Sus scrofa: one gene and its partners. The protein of the gene in region 4 purifies or fractionates together with the protein of the main gene of each other region. This does not show direct contact. Links are inferred from orthologs where the notes say so. Each region holds a gene or a part of one and is shown on either strand. Other genes may lie near its edges. The genes, in order: CDK19, CDK8, MED9, MED19, MED12L, POLR2F and RPAP2.

Region 1 (3,500 bases), on a different chromosome or scaffold from region 4:
GAGTTAAAAATGTAAATGACCTTGAGGTGGCACTGGCGGTTTAAGGAAGGACAAATCAGCAAGGCTGTCCCACTCAGTACGCAAAAGGCAGCCAAATCGGACTTGCAACAGATGGTCCAAGAAAACAGAGCAATAAGATAGTCCTGGCTAAAAATAATTCTGTTTAACTCCTTCCTACATAATATAACTCTCCTTAGTTGTACTGTTGTAAGAAGTCTTTCCAAATCCTAACTGGCAGGGGGAGGGAGTGGGATGGATTGGGAGCTTGGGGTTAATAGATGCAAACTATTGCCACTGGAATGGATTAGGAAGGAGATCCTGCTGTGTAGCACTGGGAACTATGTCTAGTCACTTATGATGGAGCATGATAATGTGAGAAAATAGAATGTATGCATGTATGTGTAACTGGGTCACCATGATGCACAGCAGAAAAAAAAAAACTGTATTGGGGAAATAACTATTACAAAAATAATTATAACAAATCCTAACTGCATTTTATTTTATTATGAAAAAAAATGTTCTTTCCATTTACAAGGCCTACAATTGCCAGGCTGGCTACAACTGCTTTGACTTTAGCAGATTAGACTCAGCACGCGAGCTCCTCCATACTGGATAAAGAGCAAGCACGTCAATAATGAGAGTCACCAACAGGTGCAATGGGACTCTCACCCCCTCATTGCTAGTCTCTCCAATTAACTAGCTGACCTAGCTACTCATTTCAGAGACATGCTGTTTTATTTTTAAGTAGACAACTCAGTATGGACAAAGGAAAGCATTTGAAGAACTCTTGGATTTGAAAGGAATAAATAAAGTAGTTAAGTAACCTGTCCACAATTAACTGTAATCAAGTGACTATAACACAATCAGACGCACAAAGATGAGCCAGTATATAGTAAAGGTTTGTGGCTCATATAATAGGAATAAACTACTGTTAGGGGGAACCCGAGTTTAGAGTAAACTTCAAACATGTTCATGATTATTACACAAATAGCAAGCTGTTTTAGTAGATCAAAACTGATGCCTTGATTAGTTTAATTGGAACCAATGAAAGTGCTGTTATATCCTCCTCTGCTCGCAAAGACTCTTCCAGGAGAAGTTTCCAAAGTAGTTGTACAAAAACACATTAGTGTGTTAAGATATTCAGAATGTAAAGCCCATTTAGACAGCTATTTATTATGTCTTTCTTGGTACTGCTTCTCTTGATTCCAGTTCCTAATCAGTGAGTTTATGTCTCCCTTGCCTGTGGTTTTGTTTCCTATTATCTCTCTCCTAAGTGCTCCTCCTCCACCAGTTCCCTGAGGGACTATAGTTTTAAACCTTCTTTTTTTTTTTTTTAATCTTTGGTTTTATTCCCCCTTCGTCTTAGATCTTTTCTTAACTTGCTATTACCTTGAAAGCTTTTTCCCCAAGATTCTCTATAGTTTTCACCAGTATTCTTACCCCTCTCTCCAAATACCAATCCTTAGATTTTGTTTCTTTTTATATTTCCTGCATTAGTAGTACAACTATAGTTTTCTTTTTAATCTTAAGAAAAAGTATTTTCTTTTTTGCTTTTTAGGGCCGCACCCACGGCATATGGAGATTCCCAGGCTAGGGGTCGAATCGGAGCTGGAGCCGCTGGCCTACACCACAGTCACAGCAATGAGGGATCTGAGCCGCGTCTGCCACCTACACCACAGCTCTCAGCAATGCCGGATCCTTAACCCACTGAGTGAGGCCAGGGATGGAACCTTCGTCTCATGGATGCCAATCAGATTTGCTTCCGCTGAGCCACATTGGGAACTCCAACAAAAAGTATTTTCTAGTATCAAAATTATTTCTAGTGAGATTTAGCAGTTATTCCTGAGAAGTCTCAATCTCAGTCCCTTTCTCTTCTATATTTCAGTGGCACGTACTGCTTATTTCCTCAGTGACAGCACATCCTTCTGAAGTACACTGCTTACCTCATTCACAATAAACCACCATTCCTTCCCCTTTTCAATTGCTTATCTAAGTATCTTTTTCTGACCCAAACCTGAAAGGCACCTGCAAGTGTGAAATGAGAGATTTTCTTTCAGGAGGAAATGACTGCCTCACCTTCCCTCCTCAGAGCTTTAGGACAAACAAGTCAAGAAACAAAACTATAATTCTTAAAATTACATAAAATGACAAAAATCTTCATTTTCATATAATGCCCTAGAAACAGGATTATACAGTTTATATAGTCAAACTTTAGAGTTAATTTGCTGGTAAATTTTAAAATGATCTATTATAAACCGACTTCCTGTTTCATAAAAGATATTGTTAAAAAAAGAGACATGAGGCTCCAAATGGAGTCACTTGTGCTAAGCCCACGGCACCAAACTGAGACTTAATTCCTAACCTGACTGCAGTTTCAGCCTCCCCCAGGAATGTAATCATATCCAGTTAGTCTGCAATTTCCTGGTCAGCACTAGTGAAGTAATACACCTGACAGGCCCCATAGTCCCCCAAAGGAAAAAAACAATCAGCCCTTTGTTAGAATAACTTCCTTGTCCCACCTCCTTCTGCTTCTAAGAGTCTTCCATTTTCTACGGCTCTTCAGAGAGTCTTTCTATTTGCTAGACGAGATACTGCCTGATACATGAATCACTGAATAAAGCCAATAAGACCTTTAAAATTTACTCAGTTGAATTTTCCTTTTTAACAGTATGAACATTAAAGAGTATAAAATCTGGGGAGGTACCTGATAATCTGACGGCATAACAGGCCCGCCTGAGTTTGTGCCTGAAGGCCCTAGCCGCGGTTTCTTGTTTGGAGGCACCTGATTAAGGCCGGAGTCCTGACTGTGCTGCAGCCCTGCCCCGGCACCCCCGGCCCCGGCCCCAGCCCCTCCTGCCGTCCCGTTGGTCTGGGTGCTGTTCTGCTGCTGTGGGGGTGCCTGTGGGGGGGCTGCTGCCTGCTGTGGAGGGGCTGTGGGCTGCTGATGTTGGTTCTGCTGCTGTTGCTGATTCTTATAAAGAGGAAAAAAAAAGTAAGCTTGGTATGGAACTAAATTAACTCTACCATTATATGATATGATGAGCAACTGGGGAGTGATCTCTGTGGGACACTATAGTGACTGGACCGACCAGAGAATGGAGCGGCCAAGGAATACAGCATCCTCCAAAGTCAAAGTGCTGAGCCCTGAACAGGACTCATTCTCTAAAGTTCATTTAGATTGCATAGTAATCCTCCAAACCAGTCACAGATATCCCACTGAAGGCCCACGGGGACAGAGGAAATAGACAGCAACTCATTAAAATAGCTAGAATAGTCTTTTCAATCAATTTGGAAAAGTAGGGCTGTGTGGAGTGAAGTCAGTTACGATCAAAGGACTGAATGATGCTTTAAAAGCAGCCTGCGTAAAGTGATGGTAATGACACCGAACAAAACAAACAAAAAAGGCAAAAATTAAGAACCAGAGAATGGGAGTTCCCACTGTGGCACAACGAGTTAAGAATCCGACTGCAGTGGCTCAGGTTGCTGGGGAGGCACAGGTT
Region 2 (3,280 bases), on a different chromosome or scaffold from region 4:
TCACCTGGGCAACGCTGCAAGTGCAGGTGCTTGGCTCCTGCCCAGATGTGCTGCTCAGCAGCTCCGGAGTCACTAGGAAGTGCTCCGGGGACGCCTCCGATGTGCTTCAAGTCTGAAAGTGCTGCGTGTTAGGCCAGAGGTGGTGGGCTGAGGGCGCACCTGTTAGAGGGCCTCTTAAGTCACACGTTAAAGGCTCTCGTTCCTAGAATCCTCAGTCCCTCATATTTCAACGAAAAAGTGCTGAATTTTGACATTAGTTTCACCTTTCGGTATCTCATTACAACAACAGTAATAATACCAACACCTAGAGAGCGCGTTCCCCACGCCTGGCACCACTGTAATTGCTTTTCGTCATTCTGAAAAGAAACATGATAAAAGGTACTGTTTCTAAGCTCCATTTGGCAAATGGGGTTACAGAGGGCTTAAGTAATTTGTTCACAGTCACCCGACTCATAAATGTCAGGTCAGGATTTGAGGCCAAGCAGCGTCTCTGCAGAGTCCCCGCCGATAGCACCTGGCCTTGCTGCACAGGTTCTGTACCGGGTGCCGTGTTTACATAGCCCCGGGCGGCAGTGCCAGAGATGGCTGTCTGAGAGCCGTGCTGTTGGGAGGGTAGCCGCTGAGCTCTGGAAATACACCTGATATGACTGAGAAATTGACTTTTTTTTTTTTTTTTTAATTAAGAAAAAAATTTTTTTCTAGGGCCACAACTGCGGCTTATGGAAGTTCCCAGGCTAGGGGTTGAATAAGAGCTGTAGCCGCCGGCCTCCACCACAGCCACATCATCTCGGGATCCGAGCTGCGTCTGCGACCTACACCACAGCTCACGGCAACGCCGGATCCTTCACCCACTGAGCAAGGCCAGGGATTGAACCTGTGTCCTTATGGCTACTAGTTGGGTTTGTTTCCACTGCGCCACATGGGAACTCTGAAAAATTGACTTTTTAAATTTAACTTGGTTTTAATTAATTTGGTTTTAACTCTAAATAGCCACATGTAGCTAGTTTATTCTTTGGGGTATAATGTTTTCCCCTTAGTAGAAAACACAGGCATTTTGGTCCTGTTCTAAATTGGACGTGGCAGTTCAGATGGTGTAGGAAAAAGGTCTTGGTTGAGAGTAAGAAGACGTATGTTTAGTTACTTCTTATAGGAGAACCGGGTGAGCTGATGATTATTAAAATGACTCGTGTGAATGACTACATGAAATTGAAAGGTTTTTAGTTTTTAACTGGGGGGAATGAAACCCTCTGAACTGTGGTGTTATTGATCAAAAACCGTGTACCTCCCACAAATGTGCCAAAAGGTAAAACTTTGAGAAGTAATGCAGTGATGTTTTTATGATTTATGGTTTCAGCTTCAGAAATTGCTTACCATGGACCCAATAAAGCGAATTACCTCAGAACAGGCTATGCAGGATCCCTATTTCTTAGAAGACCCACTTCCTACATCAGAGTAAGTGATCAGTTTATTAACTCACCAGCACAATAGAATTTTTTGGTGCGTGCTTTTTTTTTTTTTCTTTTTTAAAGCCACTTCTGTGGCATATGAAAATTCCTGGGCCCAGGCTCAAACCCATGCCACAGCAGCGCGGGCACTGCATCCTCAGCCCACTGTGCCGCCAGGGAGCTAGCTCTTGGTGCGTGCTTTTTTTTAGCTGTCAATGCCAGGTTGCTGCTGCTCTTGTTCGGGGACTCAAAGAAATCCTTATGACAAGCAGAAAACGAGCTGGTGACTGAGAGCCGTCAGGCTTTTACAGCGGAGAGACGCTGCTGCCCTGCTTGCTGCCCGCGGCCGGTGGCGGCGGTAGTCGAGGGCGGGCTGCTCCCACGCACTGGCACTCCCTGGGGCTCTGAGCCGGCGCACTGCTTGCACTTAGTTCTGTGTCCCAGTTGCAAGCCCCACCCCAAAGAAGTGTGTGGTCCCCATACATTCCTTCTTTTTTTTTTTTTTTTTTTCCGTCTTTTTGCCTTTTCTAGGGCCGCACCTGCAGCATACGGAAGTTCCCAGGCTAGGGGTCCAGTCGGAGCTGTAGCTGCCAGCCTGCACCACAGCCACAGCAACATGGGATCCGAGCCACATCTGCAACCTACACCACAGCTCACAGCAACGCCAGATCCTTAACCCACTGAGCGAGGCCGGGGATTGAACCCGTGTCCTCATGGATCCTAGTCGGGGTGGTTAACCACCGAGCCACGGTGGGATCTCCCATTTCGTGCATTTTGGATGCAGTCTGGAGGGTAGAATGCAGTTTTGTTGAGTCATGACATTCCAGCTGCGATCTCTGCCTTGGTTGTGGTGCTGAAGGAGCAGTGCCGACATAAAGGAGAGCCGAGGCCCTTTGGATGGTGCCTGGGGGTGCCGGTGCTTTTGTTCAGTCACTGGTTGGGAGAAGACACGCACTGCCTCGCGGCTGCACCGGCAGGGAGGCGGAGGCTGTCTGAACGGTGAAAGCGCGTTTGAGACGCTGATCAGCGCGCCGGAAATCGTTGTTGTCTCTTCTCTTTCCTGGGTCAGCGTTTTTGCCGGTTGTCAGATCCCGTACCCTAAAAGAGAGTTTTTAACGGAGGAAGAGCCCGAGGACAAAGGAGACAAAGTAAGTGTCAGGGTGCGGGGCGGCTTCGTGCGTTTCTGCTGGGGTGCCGCCTGCCTTCTGCGGCCGCGGCCGCGGTTTGCTCCCCTCTGAGTTGCTCTCTCTCTTTCCGTTTCACCAAATTGAGAAGAACCAGCAGCAGCAGCAGGGCAATAACCACACTAATGGGACTGGCCACCCCGGGAACCAGGACAGCAGCCACACGCAGGGCCCCCCGTTGAAGAAAGTGCGGGTTGTTCCTCCTACCACTACCTCAGGCGGACTCATCATGACCTCAGACTATCAGGTACGGCCGCCCGCAGCCCTGCATGGGGGTGGTGGCCCCGGGGCCGCGGCGGCAGGAGCACAGCGCCAGCCTCTGCTGCTCGGGAGACGTTGGCCTGGGGGGTTGCTGGCCTGCAAAGCGCCAGGCGGTTCTGTCGAGGAGGCTTAGCCAGGCGTGGAACGGTCGGACCGAACGGCGCCCCTGTTAACCCGGTGGCCTCGGTCAGGTCCTAGACAGGGCCTGGCTTTGGCGTCTCCTCCGGAGCACGAGCCGCGGGAAGCCACGTGGGGGCGGGTGGGCCTCAGCGCCCAGCGTCCAGGAGGTGCCCAGGAAGTGCCGTCTGTCGTCTGAAACCACGGCAGCTAGGGACGCGGTTAGGCCTGTGGGCAGCCTTGAGTGGGAGGCTGGGGCCCTCGGCTCCCGCG
Region 3 (3,955 bases), on a different chromosome or scaffold from region 4:
CGAGAGAAGATACAATTACTTTATGCTCCATTAGTAAAAAGCAGGCCATAAATAAATACTGGGGAACATATATTTTTTTTAAGTGAAAAGGCTGAGCGGACACTGCGTGAGTGATGTACCGCCTTCTCAGGATGAACCAGCTTCTTTCCTGGGGAGCCCCCACGTCTCTGGGGTGTCAGGTCAGACAGCCTGTCAATCTAGAAGCCGGGGCTGGGTCTCGGGTCTGTCTGAGGACTTGCTCTCAAGCGCTCTTCTTAGGTTGGCCTCTCCCTCCAGCTCCCGAAATGGGCAAGTGTCCCCCCTCCAGAGACCCTGTGCATTATTCTTTCCTAAAAACAAACCTTGGGAAAGTGTGAGCCTTTAATTATCCACCGAGACAGAAGGGGGACCACCTGTGGGCCTGGGGTCTCGAGAGGACTCAGGGGATCCGCTCCTAAACAGCCGTCCAAGCAGCCCTCCCATCCTCAGTCCCGTCACCCTCAATCACCTCTCACCGGAGGCCCTTGGCCCTGCCGCCTCCTGAGATCCGGAAGGGGCCGCGGCCAGAGGCAGCTGCTCCCGGCCGCTTCCTCGGGCTGGGAGGTGGACTAGCCCCCGGCCCCCCCCTACGGCAATCATCCCCTCTCGTGTCCTTTTCAGTTTTACGCTTAAAAGACACTCCTCACTGTCCACTCAGAGGGGACAGAGCAGGTCACACACGGGACGGACACAATGTCTTTCACAGAATGTTCTTGAGAACACCCCACAACAACCTTACGATTTCGGTGTTATTGCTCCCGGTTCACGAGAGAAAAAGATTCAGAGAGGCCGTTTGACCGAGGCCGCCCCACCAGCACACTACAAAGCTACCTCGGAAGCCCTCCTCTGAGGTTCATTGCTATTATTCACCTCTTAGCGACACGAAAAATTACGGCCTAGAAAGGCTCTGTATTTACCAAGATTACAAGGCAAGCAAGCATTAAGACTATCTCATCTCGGAGTTCCCACCGTGGCACAGCGGAAACGAATCCGACGAGAAACCCACTGGCCTCGCTCAGTGGGTTAAGGATCTGTGCCGTGAGCTGCGGTGTAGGTTACAGATGCGGCGCAGATCCTGAGTTGCTGTGGCTGTGGTGTAGGCCGGCGGCTGTAACTCCGATTGGACACCTAGCCTGGGAACCTCCATATGCCACGGGTGTGGCCCTAAAAAGAAAAAAAAAAAAGAGAGAGAGACCATCTCACCTCGCAGCCCATGCTCTCTCTAGTGCACCTCAAGGATCCGTCTTTAAGGCCAGCCCAACCCGAGGGTCCTATCAGGATGCCAGAGTGTGTACACTGTGTGTTTTAATTTTCCAAAAACCAGAACAGATAAATCTGGGTTCATCTGGACAACGCCCTTCCAACCCAGCACCGCCCTGGGACTGCAGGGCGTGCAGGTGGGTTGGGTTTCCTATGTCACTGCTGCCTACGAGTGCTACTTGCTGATCACAGGCTCACGAGAAGAGTCGGCCTCACCAGATAAACAGTATGTTCACACCAAACGAAGCCAAGTTCTAATGTGAGAAAAAAAAAGGCTTTGCAGTTGTCTGAAAAGTGGTGGAAGCGTCAGAGCGTCCCAGGCAGTGACTCTCTTCCACCTAAACTCAAAACAAGCTGGGCCACTGACAACACTTCACTGTTGTGAGCGGCAATTTCATTTCAGCAAAACATCCAAGAGGATGCTGAGGTCCACCTGAGTGTTAGAGCAGAAGGAACATTGTTTTAATTTGCTTTGTTTTGGGTTTTAATGGCTAAACAGACGTGATAAGCTGAGGGGTTTACACCTTGTTACCATGGGGACATAAATAACAGTAAAAACCATTTGGGCAAATGTGGGGACCCTGGCGATTTTGGTGGGGTTTTCCCCCCTCTTTAAGGGTCAGTCTGAAAAACCGGGTCCCCTGAAGACCGGCCTAAAGGAGACATCACCCCTGCGGCATCCTGTTGGGAACTGTGAGTGCGACGGGCTGTCTAGCGGCCATTCCCTGCCATGGCCTTATCATCACCCCTAGAATCTCTTCGCGTTATGGGTTATTCCCGTTCACGACTCTGTTCCTTCTAACTGGTGAGCAACGTGGGCGTGAACCGTATGCCCTTTCAAGTGTACATCCCCTGGCGCTTAGCAGTGTGCCACCCGCGAAACATGACCCACATCTGCTGGAAAAGACACCGAAGCGAGCGTTCTGTCCTTCATTACGTGTGAGAAAACAGCCCCGAGAAGCCTGGCTGGCTCCGGCCACAGGGACGCTGCACCTGTGCACGTGGTGTCCAGGTCGGCTTCGTTTCGAGGACTCCGCCCGGCCAGCACGGGGCCTGGCAGCCCTGAGCTCAGCGTCCGCTCAACTCGGGGGGAGGCTCGCGGTGGTCTTCGCGAGGCCGCCTCCCCGGGACCGGCGGCGCCCCGGAGCTCGGCCCGCGACGGACAGCGGGGGCGCACTCGCGGGCACCCCGGGCTCTTACCACTTGATGACGTTGTGAACCAGCGGGAGGAAGGAGCAGTTCTCCTCCGCCTTCACGACGGCCGGGGACGGAGGCCTCGGCGCGGGCTGCGGCTGCGGCGCGGAGACCGGCGTCGGCAGCTGCGGCGTCGGCAGCGGTTTCGTTTCGGGCATCGGCGGCTCGGTTGGCGGCGGCAGGGCATCCTCGGCCTGCCGGCCGGCGGGCACCCCCACTGAAGCCATGGCGCCCCGCGTTTCCGCGGCGGGTCGGCTGGGCCGCGGCTCAGCGCGCCGAACGCGTCGCGGACTCTGCACGTCACCACCGTGCGCCGCGGGGCGGGACCCAGAGGGAGGCTGGGAGCGCGCGCCCGGGGACGCGGGGCGGGGCCTGGGCGTCCGTTACTAGGCAACGGGCGGCCGGCCGGGCTAGGGTGCCCTGCTTTGGGTTGTGCGTTGAGGCAGCTAAATTGTTAATAGAAATAGATATATGTCAGAAATAACATTTTATTCCTATTCGCGTTACAAAGAGGATCCAAAATCAACAAGTGCGGAAGACTTGAGATAAATAAGGCCTCTTGAAGAGCGGAGGCCCCTGCCCAGCACCTGCTGGGGTCAGGCCCTGGGCCAGCGGGCGTGGAGAGAATCCCGGCGGAGGGACCCACGGTTCCCACCCGCGCAGAGGCCTTCAGGGGAGAGGCCCTGCGCCCGCCCTAAGGACGCAGGAACAAAGAAGCTGCGACGAACTAAGTCAATACTTAATATGCATCTTCTCCATGACTGCTGTACTGCCTGCGGGGAGGGGTGGGAGTTGTCCCAACTTCCACACGAGGCTGAAGGGGGTTAGTGCCAGGAATAAACATGTCCTAGGAGAAGTCAGCGGCACGTACTCTCCTCACCTGTGGGCCCCAGCTCCTTAAGCCTCCAGGGCTCAGCGTCCTCACCCCAAAAGCCTTATATAGTTCAGGAGCCTAAACTGCTTCCCACCTTCCCACACGTGGCCGGCCTCCAAGCTCGCGTTTGCAGGGGCACTCACTCCCTGGGATCTCAGGCCAAAGCCAGGGGAACTCTGGTGGGTTTGTGGTTATGCTCCTCAAGACAAGTCCTCCCTGGCTGTGTAATAAATTCCTGGGCGATGAGAACACACGTTCTGAGCTTCGCTGGTGAGTGGAAGCCCTGCCCTTCCTCAGAGCTTTAGAGACACAAGGAGACTGCAGTCAGGTGCCAAGATGAGAAGCAGCATTGAAGAGCAAGGCGGCCGTCCTAAGGAAAACGTCACTGCAAATATTTCTAGATGCATCCAGAGGGGTCTGTGAAGGCAAGTCCTGGGGAGGCTTGGAGTGGGTGCTTTGGGCCTCAACACTGCTTTCTTGTAAGAACTACCCAGAGAACCCCTGAGGGAGCGCATGGAGGGGGAGGTGAGGACTGCTGCCCAGGGGCCTCTCCGCCCAAAGGAAGTGCCAGGGTCCTGGTGGAGAACCGGAAGGAGGACCAGAGGCACT
Region 4 (3,500 bases):
CCTATTCTTGGTGGCTCTTTTAATCCTATCACAGGGACCATGCTGGCTGGTTTTCGCCTCCACACTGGCCCGGTAAGTCCCTTCTTGGGGAGGAAGAAGGCAAGTGGGTAGGCCTGAAAGCCTTGGAGGTGGTTTTTCTGCTCACATCTGTTCCTTCCTAAGTTACTGAGCAGAGCAGATGATGCAAGTAGGGGATTTCCTCCCTCTGCTAACCCAGACCGTCCTTTGGTTCCTTCAGTTGCCAGAACAGTGTCGTCTGATGCATATTCAGCCTCCCAAGAAGAAGAATAAGCACAAGCACAAACAGAGCCGTACCCAAGATCCTGTCCCCCCAGGTAAGAAGCAGTTCTCTTCAAAGCCAGAGAACCAGATGTTCTGAATTTGGTTGAATCTTCCTCAGTTAAAAACCCAGTTAAGTTCCTTATGGGCTGAGGACTCCCAAATTCTCCTTTTTAATTAATTAATTTTTACTTATGGCTGTGCCCGTGGCATATGGAAATTCCTAGGCCAGGGATTGAATCCAAGGCACAGCTGTGACCCATACTGCAGCTGGGGCAACCCCAGGTCCTTTAACCAACTGCGCCAGGCTAGGGATCCAAACCAAACCTCTGCAATGACCTGAGCAGCTGCAGTGATTCTTTTTTATTGTTTTCTTCTACAGTATTTTTTTGTCCTTTTTCGGACTGCACCTGCGGCATGTGGACGTTCCCAGGCTGAATCAGAGCTATAGCTGCCAGCCCACAGCACAGCCACAGCAATGCCAGATCCTAGCTGCATCTTTGACCTGTACCACAGCTCACAGCAACGCCAGAACCTTAACCCACTGAGTTAAGGGGCCAGGGATCAAGCTCTCATCTTCATGGATACTAGTTGAGTTTGTAACTGCTACACCACCAGGGGAACTCCGCTGCAGTGATTCCTAACCCAGTGTACCACAGTGGGAACTCCATGAATTCTCCTTGAAGCAGTTGACATAATGGGGTCTTTTGGCCAGATAGGAATTTGGGGCACGGGTTTAAGCGGTGCCTCTGAATCCTTTCTGGTCATTTGAAGAAAAGCCGCCCCCCTTGACTAGGGGTTTTCCTCTAGACTTCAGAGTTCTAGCAGTGGAAGATTTTGACCTCTACAGGTGACAGATGCCTCATATCTCCTACAGAAACACCATCTGATTCAGATCACAAGAAAAAGAAAAAGAAAAAAGAAGAGGATCCTGAACGGAAAAGGAAGAAGAAAGAGAAGAAGAAAAAGAAGGTATAGTAGCGGTCTGTGGCTGCAGCCCAGTGAGTCTCCCCAGGTCACCCCTGTCCTAGGTAGCCTCTTATTTTCTTACTCCTCCTTGTCTTCCCCAGAACCGACACAGTCCAGACCACCCAGGTATGGGCAGCTCTCAAGCCAGCAGCAGCAGCAGCCTCCGCTAACAGAACCAGTATATTCTGCCAGAATGACTTTCCTGCTGACAAAAGCTGCCTTCCGGGCTCATGGTCACTGCCCTGGGAGCACCCCCCCGCCCCACAGCTGGGACAGAAGCCAGCTCCTGCTGTGCTCAGTTAAGATGAACACTTTGTAAGAGAGAAGGGCCATGCTTTTTAAAGCCTCAGCCCAGTTTGCTTTCTCATGGACATTTTTTCCTCTCCTGGGAAGCTTTCTTTTCATCTCTTTTGTGCCATTTGTCTGATTTAGGACTTTATCTGATTTGTTAGGATTTTTATTTTCTTAAAATTGCATTTCTCAAACTGGCTGAAGTGTGGCTGCCTGTTAAGAGGTAAGTGCCTTTCTTCGAGAGTCAGGGTTTAGGCCAAGGCATGCTAAGATCTGAGGGGATTGGGGTCTTGTATTCCATTATCTCATCAGCAGGCAGGGAAACAACCAAAATGAGATTGGGGAACATGGTCCAAAAGTGAAGCAGAGTTTGCTAATACCTTTCCACAGCAGACACATAATTCTGCCCATAATGCTGAGAACCAAGTACCTGGATGATTTTTAGGCTCTGTCTGAAGGAACTGATTTAGGGTTTTAGCCGATTTAATTAGGGTTCAGCTCTATTCTAGGTCAATTTTGTATTATCAACAAGGTTGCTTTTTAGTAAAGCCTATGATTGAATCCGAGCCACAGCTGTAACCTACACAGCAGGATTCTTAACCCATTGTGCCATAGTGGGAACTCCAGCCTATGATTTTTTTGATCATATGATCATGGCAACACCAGATCCTTAACCCACTAAGCGAGGCCAGGGATTGAACCCGAGTCCTCACAGATACTAGTCAGATTTGTTTCTGCTGAGCCACAACGGGAACTCCCAGACTATTTTTTGAAATAAACCTCTGGCAAGCAGAGATACATGCTTCTAAGAACTTTTGACCTGTTTCATTCCATAAGACAAATGAAATCATTTGGCTGATGTGAAAACATTTCTAAGCTTCCAAGACACCAACAAAAAGGCAGCCTTAACTAGTAAAATGTCAAATAAATCCCTTCAGTCTTTGCAGCAGGCCAGGTAACTGGAAAAAAACATCCATGAGATAATCCAAGCTAATGTAGTTGGACTTGAAGTTCATTTTGAAACAGAATAGTTAAAATCTGTTGCTATGGGCCAAGGTTCCTAGGTTGCCAGATGGAAAACTACTCATTCAGCTCATTTTAACCTAGGATTTCAGAGCAAGGACAGCGAGAGGGTTCTGGCCAGTTTTCTGAGATTTCATGTCTGAGGATGCCTATTTAAAATAAGGGCACAGCCTTTTGCTTTTGACAAAGAAACAATATGAGATGTCAGATTAAGTGCCACCATATACCCCTCTGGTCTGTCTGCCTTTAAAAGGCTTTCATACTGTGATGATCCACTGGCTCGCCTTTGGCTACATCCAAAATGAGCTCTCTTTTCCAGAGACAAAATTCTGTATTAAAGAACTGTGGCAAAAATCAAGAGCTCTCTAAGTTTTGAAGTAAGAAGTTTTGGTGGTTACAAAGATTTTTTTTTCTGAAATCTTTAATTAAATCACTGAATTAAAACAGGATCTCTTGTTTTAAGTGGTTATTTTCACTGCTGTCCTGCCTAAAGGTGGGCCAGGACCAGAGAAACTTAGGAGGTTTTCTGTGTAATTTCCCATTAGAGATCATCCACCCTGCCCTAACCACACAAAATAACACAAGTCAGGGGGAGCTGGTTAGATCAGGATTTCTTTTTATTCCTTGTTGGTTTAAAATGGCTAATCAGAATAAAAAATAAAAGGGCCTCTGTCCAGAGGCTGGGGTCTCCCCTATTTAGAGGTTAGAACCCAGGTATCCCCTCTACCCAGCACCATACTGAGGTGGGCTGAGGGGTAACCCCCAAGGGACAATCGGAGGGGCCTAGGCCTGCCACTCCTTCTCTCTTATCCCCAGTTTTTGGCATATGATGAGAAATATTGCTTTTTGGATTCTTATCTCCCAGCCTGGGTTTTAAAAATGATATCAACCATGTTGGTTGGCGGGGGGATGGGGGGGGAGTTTGAGGGGCCAGTTGA
Region 5 (3,500 bases), on a different chromosome or scaffold from region 4:
AATCTTGTCAAAAGATAGGGATGCACCTCCCCCAAGGCAGGTAAACGGGGAAAGGTAGTTAGCAAAATGCACAAAGTATCATGGAGCTGACATTCTGGTATCAGGCAAATAAAAATAAGTGGAACAAGCGGCATGAACCAGGGGACAGACAATGACTGGTCCTACTTTTAGAGCATGAGGGAGTGGGATGGCGCACCTAGGGAAGTGACATCTGAGCAGAGACCTGAGGAAGTGAAGGAGCTGCCCTGGGAGGGGAGAAAAGATTCTAAGACTCTGCAGTGAGAATTTGCTTGGCAAGTTCATGGAACAGCAACATGGCCACTGTGAAAAGAGTAGAATGAGCAGACCCATGACTGCCAGGAAACCAGGTAGAGGTTGGAGCTGGTGCCAAATTGTGGAGGGGCTTATAGGCTCAGACTGGGAATTATTATTCTAGGAATAGTAAGAAACACTGCAGCATTTGGAGCACTGGAAAAATTTGTGATTTACACTTAAAAACAATCATTCTGCCTACTATATAGAGAATAGATTTCACATATCCAGAAGGTAGCAGATGACAAGAGATCCCCAAGAAGTTAAGTATCTTGTTCGTGTTCATCCAGAACTGTTCAAGGAAAAGACACTGTGTCACTGAAATCATAGTCCCACATAGACTCCATTAGGCTCTACAGCTGGATAAAACATGCCAGATGACCAATCTATCCACTCTGCTCCATTCTATACTTTCAAATTCCAATTTGATCACTCAGTTTCCTTGTGGTACACAGAATACCTGTGCTCTAAATCGTAATCAGAACTGTGGATGGTGCAAAGGCAAAATTCAAAAAGTCTTTGAAAATGAACCAGAATGGCTTCTGATTCATAAATGAGTATCTTGTACACTTGACCAGCAACAGTCTGGCTCTAGCAGTAAAATTAAGATGAGTTTCTGAACTTACAGAGCTCACTCTGAGACCCTTCCTGATAAGTGGAAGCCCAACGGAGGACCTGGCAAGAGGTCCTTTTGTCTTACTGCCAGGCCTCCTTCAATATTGATTCCTCTAGGACCTTTCCCAGGAGGCAGGGGCAGGAGAGGAGCAACAACTTTGTAACAAAGTTATGTGCAATATGCAGAATGTTACTTGTATACAGACATTTATCCAACACATAATTAATATTATACTGCTATTCATCTCATGGTGATAAGAACACAGGTAGGAGAACAGGGTGGGAATTGTTTTCCTGCATCTAAGCAAAACACATTGCACTCTTATGAGTTTAATGTCAGTTTGTTTGAAAGGAAAACAAATGAATGCCATTAGAACCATACTTGCCTGGCTTAGTATTCTACTGCACTTTACCTGGTTAACTTGATTCTGCAGCGATGTTAGGAGGCCTTCTCGTTGTTCATCCTGTCCCTTCAGGCAGGTAAGGACCAGTGAGAGGAATGGTTGTTGACTCAAAAGAGACATACTACGAAGGAAGTAATAACAGGAGATCTAGTTAGAAAGAATGGATTACTTTCTGTGCAACACTTATTTCTTGCCCTCGCGTTATCGGCTCTTATTTATTTTACTATTAGAAAAGGGAGGGGAGTAGTAAATAGCCAAGACTACTTGAAAAGTTAAATCATATCTCTAACTAATAAGATTAAAAAGCCACTGTAATGCTTCTAGATTTAATATGTTTTCTTGCCCTGAAAGGCATTTCCAAATTAGCATAAATTCATACCACATATGAGTGCGTATGGGGGGAGGGGGAACAAGAAGAAGAGACTTTGCAGTTTCTATCAGTAAACTGAATTAAAAGATACACATCAGGAGGAATATCACTTCATACACAGAAAAATGAAAAAATTTTAAATTTCTGTCACTTAGTATTACTATTTTAGGGTCCAGGAAATAGGCCTTATATGATTTCTGTGCTTATTTATTTATTTATTTATTTATAGCACATTTCTCAAGACCAAATAGCTGGGTATTGGTAGAGCTAAAATTAGCATCTACTCCTCCAAGGAGGACTCCAAACCAGTATGCTTGCTAGTGATCCCCAGTACTCTGCCACATCCCACAGGCTTAACGTGTAAAGGAGTTTAAAGACATTTGGGGGGAAAAACTCCATTTTAAATTGGCATTTTAGCATTTTTTTCTTCCATGATCAGGAACAACTGACAAATCATGCTGATAAACTAATTTTGCTACACTGGAAAAGAAAATTCCTTAAAATGAGATGGAGGTCATAATGTTTCAATCTGCTTCATCTTACACCAGCATAGCCAAGAGAGATTAGCTTGGGAAGAGCCATCTTTAAACTCTGCAATTCCATCTGCTCTCCCTGCAGGAAGTGAGGCGAAGTACATGCCATCGCCCATTAGCAGATAAACTTTGAGAATTAAAACTGTGTCACTTCACTGGTTAACAAATATGGGCAAAGATGACAGAACAACCAGATACCAAACAACATACACACAAAGCTATGTCAAATAACAAAATGTACTTTAGTTAAGAGCACAGACTCAGAGGCCAGACCACCTGGGTTTCAATCCCAACTTTACACCTCTTTAGCTATGTGTCCTTGAGAAATTTACTTAACCTTTCAGTGCCTCAGTTTCTTTACCTATAAAAAGGATATAATGAGAGCATCTACCACAATACGATTGCTGTGAGATTTTAAAAGTTCACATATGCATATAATGAGTTTGGTACATAGGTTGACATTTTATAAGGGATCATTAAATGGCAACTACTGAAATACTATTAATTAGGTGACAAGAAATCTGTATGATCGGAATTTTTGTTTTTTAACATTAGAAATTTCTTCTCACTCCTGGTGTGCTAAATTTAACATGCTTTCACATTAGAGCATATTTTTGTTCTTTCTCAGTAACATGGTCAGTTTTCCAAAATAATTATATGAAACATTTTCTAGGGCATAAAATTTTAAAAAAAATTTTTGACTTGGAGGCTTATAAGTTAATGTGTGTGTAGTCTAGAACAAGAGCCCTAAATGTTAAAAATATTAGTAACTATTTCAGGGTCCAGCATGATAGAATTATAAATAATTGCATGAATTTTAAACCTAAGTACCTAAATAATAAGAAAAAAAAAAAAAAAAACAACCTGTTGAATACAGGATGAAGTGGATATCCAAAGCTGATTCAGTAGGTCTGAAGTGGGGCTAAAAAGCCTTTAACAGCACAGCAGTGATTAGGGTACAGAGGCAGAAGGGAGAGCTAGTGTACTGAGTATTATAATGCGAAATCTTTTAGGAAACAGAGCTTTGCCTAATAGAATATTTTCAATTTCATATAAAGATGAAATTTCAGTAGACTCTGGGTACAACAAGGATGTATATCTGTAGGATACTGGATTCTCTCAACTGTTCTTTAAACACTCACATAGAAACACCTATAGCAGCCATACCTTTTCTGTTTTTGTCTGTCTCTCTCCTTTTTGGAAGAAGAACCCAAGTGCTGTCCCTTCTCCAGCTCCTCCCCAGCAGCTTTCAACACTCTTCCCTGC
Region 6 (3,500 bases), on a different chromosome or scaffold from region 4:
CAGACCCTCTGAACAGACTCTAAAATAACCTTCCAATTTCGTTACTAAATATTTTGATGTCTGTTACTCCCAAAGCTTGAATACATCCCGAGGGCAGAGAGCGAGTGTTTAACTTTCCCTGTATCCTCTCTCAGCAAGTATACAAACTTCCCCCAAATTTAAAGCTTTCAAGTATGTGGCAAAATGCTTTCCCTTATCTGCTCATGCCTTATTTTTTTCAAGACACAAATAATTCACGAGCATTGACTTATTCAGCCCGACTCCCTGCGTGGCAGCGTGAGAGCAAATGCCCTCAGGGAAGCTGTCTCTCATCCAGCCGCCAGGTGGTGCTCATGAACGGGAGTCAGACTTCACCCAAACCCTATCCCAGAAACGTTTGTTCAGCATCTACTAAGTGCAGACGGCAGGCCCAGTACTGGAGATAAGCTCCAGCTCCGGATGTCCAAGGGCTTACAGCAGCCAGGGAACCATCAGAGAGCATCCTGGCCCTTCATGGGAAGGAGCACTACAGACCCAAATAAGCTGGGCCGAGCTGGGCCTTGCTCCCCAAGAAAAGCAGGAGGCTGGGACTTGACAGTGTCCTGAACGCCTGCCTCCCGATTTTCAAGTGCTCCACATTGTCCAATAACACACGCCCATCTGCTGAACTTGTCACTCACAGCACCAGTGACATCTTTTCCAGCCTTGTGCCCCAAGCTACTGCCATTCCCCCACCACAATCCACACGTGGCAGCCTCCACGTGGAATTTTCCGGGTGCTATTTCTGGCACCTGGGATACTGCCAATCCCACTTCACTCTAATCCAATCTCTTCATGATGCTTCCCTAGTCACCCCTGCCATTACTCCCTGTCTCCTTTTCTGTTTCTTTTCTAAAGCACCAATTCCCATCAGTCCTGGGTCTGGGTACTTGGAGCAGGTCCATCTCCCCATTCAGACTGTAAGCACCTGGCAGACAGGGGGGACTGTGTCTTTTTTTTTTTTTTTTTTTTGCTTTTTAGGGCCGCACCTGCGGCACATGGAGGTTCCCAGGCGAGGGGTCGAATTGGAGCTACAGCTGCCAGCCTACGCCACAGCCACAGCAACGCCAGATCCTTAACCCACTGAGCGAGGCCAAGGATCGAACCCGAAACCTCATGGTTCCTAGGCAGGTTCGTTTCCACTGCGCCACAATGGGAACTCCATGGAGGAGGACTATGTCTTTAATCATTTCTGCAGCCCCAACAGGTGCAAGCACACTATCTTATTCAATGTTGAAAGACTTTAACTTGCAAACAGTCTGTCTGTTTGAAAAATAATCTGCGAACTGTTCTTCCTGCCAGGTCATGGTTAGCAGACGTGAGCACTGCCCAATCACCGCTCTGCAATGATGGAAAGGTCCTCTCTACGCACTACCCCTTACAGTAGCCACAGGGGGCTGCTGGGCACAGGAAATGTGGCTATCGAGACCACCCAAACACTGAGCTTCTATGTAGTTTTACTTAATTCAAAGGTAAATGGCAGACGTAGCCCACGGCGACCATAACCAGTGGTGCGGGCCTAGAGGGTCCTGAACCCAGCAAAACTAAAATCAGCATGCAGCAGAGTGCAGCTCTAACTTCACCCAGAGCAGCAAGGAGGGCCACCGGGCTGGCAGGGGACCTGCTCCTGCCCAGTGGGCGAGGAACAGCACGGCCCACCAGGAAACCCTCATGGTGGTCACCTTCATGCCACAGGACCCGAGTGTCTGAACAGCTGGGGCGGGATGTGCGGACCGAGCATCACCGCTCCTCCAGCACGGGCGGCTCCACACTTCCGGCCCCGGCCCTCCCTTGGAGCCTCTCTCCACTACTCCCTCCTCGAAGCACCCCCTCCTCTAGGTACCCACCATTTCCCACAGCAGCTTGTGAGAAGTTGGGGTACAGCTCCTTCCCTCGGCCTCACATTTCCCCGAGGAGGACCTTCCACGAGAGCAGCAGTGACAGGCCTGCCCCCTCTCTGTCCTCCCCCTTGCTCCTTGCCAGGATGGAGGAGAACTCATCTGACGGGGAGCCTGCGGAGAAAAGCAGGCATCCCTGACCCGGTCTCTTGGAGGGGCCCTGCTTCCTCAAGGCCGCCTGCCTGCAGAGAGGGCACTTTCGGATCTGCTCTCCACGATGCCATGACCTGAACAGGCAGGCTCACCCCTGCAGACACGGCCTCGGGATGCCTGTATCGCCTGTGGCTGGCGGGATGGACACGCAAGCACCACACATTTTGCTCCCCAGCTGTCTATGCGCTGTCTCCCAAGGCCTGTTATTCTTCACCTGGTTTCAAGCTCGGGAGAGGTTTCAAACCCCCAAACCTCCACTGCGACTCTGTGCTTTCACCTCCCTAGCACGGCCTCCACACGAGGGGAGGGCTCTCCCACTCCTCTGGGCCGACCAGAGGCCACGCCGGTCGAAAACCACCTTAGGCCCAGGGGCTGCTGCTGCAGCTCCCCAACTAACCAGCCCACAATGGTCTGCGGCTGACTTTATTTATATTTGCACCCCTAACGGACAGGCAATCATCAAGTGCTGTGTTCTTACGGCTCTCCTTCCACTGCACTGTTATTTGACGTCTCAGATGTTTCTGTCCTACTGCTCCACTGGATCACAAACTCCCGGAGGCCGGGGTCCAGCACAGTGCCCGGCACGCAGGGACAGCACCCCCTGGCTGAGCCTGTGAGAGGAGGGAGGGTCTGTTTTCAGGTGCCAGGCTGGACCGCATCAACAGCTCGGAGGCCCCCCATGGCCTGACCCACAGAAAAGATGGTTTAGAGGTGCACACTCACGCGATCTGAAGGGCTCGGGTGCCCAGCACGCGGGCTCGCTCGTACTTGGTCATATACGGCGTGGTGATTCGCTTCTGGTTGGCCTGCGGCCGCTCTCCAGAAGGGAGGATCTCAACGTTCTCCTGGCCCTCCTGGACACCAAGGCAGAAAAGAGGGACAGTCTCAGAATGCGTCACTGGGGTGAAGGGAGGAGGACAACGACAATGATGACAACGTGCATCACACCACTGCTGGTTACGCACAGCGACCATGCAACTGCCTTAACAGCGCCTCATTTCATCCTCACAATAACCTCAGGAGGTGGCGTCACAGTGCCCATTTGAGAGGCTGGAGAGTGAGCTAACTTGGCCAAAGTCTCAGGCCTAGTGCAAGAGAGGAATCCCGATCGGGATTCCAAAGCCAGCTCCCTCATCCGGAAGAGAGTCGGCCCATACACAGAAGTCCTTGAGCACAGACAACAAACCACCCTAAGCACGAAGGGAACACGCACCCTGTCTTTCTACCTTCCTATATTTAACCATCAAGCATCTGTCACGTGCCAGACACCATAACAGGTACTGAGACAGAAAGCTACAAGTCTGTGCTCTCAAAGAATTCGGTGTGCAGAAAAGATGAAAGTACACAAACTCCAAGGGCTATAAAAGGTGGAAGTGTGACACGGACCTAACAAGAAGGTGAGGGCCGACCACCTCACACTGGGGGTTGGGA
Region 7 (3,500 bases), on a different chromosome or scaffold from region 4:
TTATGAAGCTGAGTGACAGAGATTATTGTTTCTCCAAGATTCATATTAAAGTTATGGATGCTATTTATACAGCTAAAGTGATTTCAAATATAGAGCTAGGTTAGGTAACATTCTACAGAAACAGAAGAATTTCTAAATTTTTACTGTATTTCTACTTTCATCCTTTTTTTAAATCTCCAAAGGTGTTCTTAAATTTAGAGCTATTTTTACTCAGAAATCTTTCACAACAAACTCCTGTGGTAAAAACAAGATTATCACCTATTCCTCTTTATGCCAGATGACTTCATTTCCCAAACTACATAACCAACCAAAAATGGGTAATGGAAATAGTGAAGGAACCTCCCTAGCGCTCAGTGGCATAGGTCCATTTCCACATGTAACTGTTTACATGTAACTAGTAGCAATTATATGTGAGGCACTGTGGTAACTGCCTTCTATTCACTACCTTTAAAACGCCTAACAATTGAGCAAGGGAAGCCATTTATAATCCCCTTTACACATAAGCAATGAGACTAAGGTTTCACATAGCTAGGGAGTGGCAGAGCAGATATTCAAATCCAGGTTTACCTGAATCTTCTCCCATGTCCAGTATTTCCCCAATATGTCTCGTCTACTAAATTCTATTCATAAATAATATTTTAAATGGGCACGCTTGCCAAATATTATCCAAATATTTTACTGTTTAACTACTAAGTCTACTCCACTGCATACAGTCCTACTGGAAATGAAACACGAAGATATACACCCTATGTACAAATTCAAAAGTATCCATACCAACAACAACAACAAAAAACAAGCCTTTTCAGAGAGTACAGATATTACACGAAGAACTGGGTTTTAAAGAAAACTTTGTTCCTGGAGTTCCCGTCGTGGTGCTGTGGTTAACGAATCCGACTAGGAACCATGAGGTTGTGGGTTCGATCCCTGCTCTTGCTCAGTGGGTTAACCATCTGGCGTTGCCATGAGCTGTGGTGGTTGCAGACGAGGCTCGGATCCTGCGTTGCGTTGCTGCGGCTCCGGCGTAGGCTGGCAGCTACAGTTCTGATTAGACCCCTAGCCTGGGAACCTCCATATGCCATGGGAGCGGCCCAAGAAATAGCAAAAAGACAAAAAAAAAAAAAAAAAAAAAAAAAAAAAGACAATTCCCCAATTCTAGGCTTCTTCTACGTTAGAGAAAATGTTAAATATTTATGAAAATTTTCTGGGGCAAACTTTAAATAGTATCCATCAGGATGCAGGTTCGAACCCTGGCCTCACTCACTGGGTTAAAGACCCAGCATTGCCGCAAGCTGTGGCGGAGGTCACAGATGTGGCTCGGATCCGCAGTTACTGCGGCTGCGGCTGTGGCGTAGGCCAGCAGCTGCTGTTCTGATTCGACCCCTAGCCCAGGAGCATCCGCATACTGAAGGTGTGGCTGCAAAAAGAAAAAAAAATTAAAAAAAATTTTTTTAAATAAAAAAGACATACCTCTTCTGAGTCTTGTGATTTGGTGGTTTCTTCATTCAAAACATATCGTCCTCTATAAAACTCCCTGATCCTTAGATTTAATGTTTCAGTTTCTTTTTTCAAGTTCTCATAACTTGGCAATGGTTTACTGGCTGTATCTGAGGCTCTAAACGGTAAAGACTCATCCAGGCTGTTCGGAGATTCCTGCAGGGCAGGGGAACGACTCTCTGGGTCAGAGGTTACGTCATCTTCATCAAGTTCTTCTTCTTTAACCAGAGGTGCTGAAGCAGGCTTCAGACATACAGAAGCATAATTCTGGCCATACAAAAACTTCAAGGTTTCTTCTGTCTTCCACTCAACCAAGGTCTCCTTCAGGGCTTTAAGTAAGTTTGCCTTTCCAACTTCAGAGGACACCTGCGCTGAACTAGAAGCTGACCTAGAAACCTGACTTGATTTGGCAAATTTCCTCTTAAAATGCTCAGCACTTTTCTTACTTATGCCTACAAGAGTTATTTTTGAACTACTGCACTTACTTTCAGAAATTTCTGAAGCTTCTAATTTTTCTTGCGAAGGACTATGTGAAGAAATCTGAGTATTTAACTCCTGTAAGGGAGGTTCACAAGCAGAAGCTTTCTCCTGATTCTCTAATCTGCAATGACCTAACTGCTCCGTGGCATCTATTACTATCCGCTCTTCACTTTCATGGTTGGAGTTCACTTTTTGATCAGCTTTCTTTCTCATTATGCTTTTTTTGTGCAGCTGTGGCATTATACCTGCTGCAGTTGGCCTGCTGCCTGGCAGAATGGAGGAAACAAAGTCTGGTTCATTATCACTGCCACTATCACTGGGAGTGCTGGAAGAACCAGATTCATTGTGCTTCTCCGAACAGTCAGGATTGTCAATATCTGATGTCTTAATGGCCTTACTGGATAACTGTATTTCTTCTCCAGAATGACCACTGTTGTAAGGAAAGAAACAAAAACCACTATAACAGAAAAACAAAACGTTCCATGGTATTTATACCTCATAACTTTCAAGGCAGAGATTTGTATTCCTTAGGCAAGGCCTTATTTATAGGCTTATATTCACCTAAGCCTGTAGATACACACGCGCACACACACACACTGCAGAAAAAAGCTGTAATTCTAGAATTTCTCTATGTCTTATTAACTGTATATAGTTCTTCCATCTTCTTCCCTTATCTTTTCTCCCCCATTATTTAAAAACGTTAAGAGTATAGCAAAAAAAAAAAAAAAAACCCCCCAAAACCCGGAGTTTCCATTGTGGCTCAATGGAAATGAATCCAACTAGGAACCATGAGGTTGCGGGTTTGATCCTTGGTCTCGCTCAGTGGGTTAAGGATCTGGCATTGCCATGAGCTGTGGTGTAGGTGGCAGACGGCTCGGATCCTGCATTGCTGTGGCTGTGGTGTAGGCTGGCGGCTCTAGCTCTGTAGACAAAAGATGAAAAAAAAAAAAAAAAAAAAAAAACACCTCCCCAAATCCCTAAACCACACAAATACAAAACCCTACGCTTGATAATTTCATCCTACTAAATTAGATTTTTGCTTCCTTCATTTCTGTAATTATATTACATAATCCCTTTTTTTTTGGCTTTTTAGGGCCACCCCGAGGCATGTGGAGGTTCCCAGGCTAGGGTCCAATCGGAGCTACAGCCACAGCAACACCAGATTCTTAACCCAACTGAGCAAGGCCAGGGATAGAACCTGCAACCCCGTGGTTCCTAGTTGGATTCATTTCCACCGCACCACAACAGGAGCTCCTATAATCCCTTTTTTAAAAAAAATTTCTTTTGAGAGTTCCCTGGTGACCTAGTGGTTAAGGATTCAGCATTGTCACTGCTGTGGCTCAAGTTCAATCCCTGGTGTGGGAATTTCCACAGGCTATGGGCGTGGCCGAAAAATTTTTCTTTTGGAAACTTCATTATTGGTTTCTCAAAAAAAAAAAAAAAAAAAAAAAGGAACTCTGCTTAGATTTTGAAAGACAAAAATAAAATGATGTTTTAAGCATTCCCCAATTCTTTTTTTTGCTCCT

The links.
Region 1: the proteins of MED19 (region 4) and CDK19 purify together in Homo sapiens (affinity purification with mass spectrometry; 7 studies listed by BioGRID and IntAct, counting the BioPlex papers as one, with this or other methods). This does not show direct contact. The link is inferred for Sus scrofa from reciprocal best matches to the Homo sapiens genes MED19 and CDK19.
Region 2: the proteins of MED19 (region 4) and CDK8 purify together in Homo sapiens (affinity purification with mass spectrometry; 8 studies listed by BioGRID and IntAct, counting the BioPlex papers as one, with this or other methods). This does not show direct contact. The link is inferred for Sus scrofa from reciprocal best matches to the Homo sapiens genes MED19 and CDK8.
Region 3: the proteins of MED19 (region 4) and MED9 purify together in Homo sapiens (affinity purification with mass spectrometry; 6 studies listed by BioGRID and IntAct, counting the BioPlex papers as one, with this or other methods). This does not show direct contact. The link is inferred for Sus scrofa from reciprocal best matches to the Homo sapiens genes MED19 and MED9.
Region 5: the proteins of MED19 (region 4) and MED12L purify together in Homo sapiens (affinity purification with mass spectrometry; 3 studies listed by BioGRID and IntAct, counting the BioPlex papers as one, with this or other methods). This does not show direct contact. The link is inferred for Sus scrofa from reciprocal best matches to the Homo sapiens genes MED19 and MED12L.
Region 6: the proteins of MED19 (region 4) and POLR2F purify together in Homo sapiens (affinity purification with mass spectrometry; 3 studies listed by BioGRID and IntAct, with this or other methods). This does not show direct contact. The link is inferred for Sus scrofa from reciprocal best matches to the Homo sapiens genes MED19 and POLR2F.
Region 7: the proteins of MED19 (region 4) and RPAP2 purify together in Homo sapiens (affinity purification with mass spectrometry; 3 studies listed by BioGRID and IntAct, with this or other methods). This does not show direct contact. The link is inferred for Sus scrofa from reciprocal best matches to the Homo sapiens genes MED19 and RPAP2.

The regions. Positions count from the first base shown.
Region 1 is NC_010443.5:76,594,477-76,597,976, forward strand, and holds part of CDK19 (cyclin-dependent kinase 19), read right to left. Parts: intron 2,972-3,500; coding exon 2,705-2,971; intron 1-2,704.
Region 2 is NC_010453.5:4,155,442-4,158,721, forward strand, and holds part of CDK8 (cyclin-dependent kinase 8), read left to right. Parts: intron 1-1,354; coding exon 1,355-1,452; intron 1,453-2,514; coding exon 2,515-2,593; intron 2,594-2,717; coding exon 2,718-2,876; intron 2,877-3,280.
Region 3 is NC_010454.4:60,931,200-60,935,154, forward strand, and holds the start of MED9 (mediator of RNA polymerase II transcription subunit 9), read right to left. Parts: upstream 2,801-3,955; 5' UTR 2,700-2,800; coding exon 2,479-2,699; intron 1-2,478.
Region 4 is NC_010444.4:13,247,811-13,251,310, forward strand, and holds the end of MED19 (mediator of RNA polymerase II transcription subunit 19), read left to right. Parts: coding exon 1-72; intron 73-238; coding exon 239-335; intron 336-1,156; coding exon 1,157-1,251; intron 1,252-1,349; coding exon 1,350-1,418; 3' UTR 1,419-3,011; downstream 3,012-3,500. UniProt on the Homo sapiens protein: Component of the Mediator complex, a coactivator involved in the regulated transcription of nearly all RNA polymerase II-dependent genes.
Region 5 is NC_010455.5:91,565,088-91,568,587, reverse strand, and holds part of MED12L (mediator of RNA polymerase II transcription subunit 12-like protein), read right to left. Parts: coding exon 3,402-3,500; intron 1,453-3,401; coding exon 1,341-1,452; intron 1-1,340. UniProt on the Homo sapiens protein: May be a component of the Mediator complex, a coactivator involved in the regulated transcription of nearly all RNA polymerase II-dependent genes.
Region 6 is NC_010447.5:9,907,722-9,911,221, forward strand, and holds part of POLR2F (DNA-directed RNA polymerases I, II, and III subunit RPABC2), read right to left. Parts: intron 2,924-3,500; coding exon 2,793-2,923; intron 1-2,792. UniProt on the Homo sapiens protein: DNA-dependent RNA polymerase catalyzes the transcription of DNA into RNA using the four ribonucleoside triphosphates as substrates.
Region 7 is NC_010446.5:124,739,415-124,742,914, forward strand, and holds part of RPAP2 (putative RNA polymerase II subunit B1 CTD phosphatase RPAP2), read right to left. Parts: intron 2,405-3,500; coding exon 1,468-2,404; intron 1-1,467.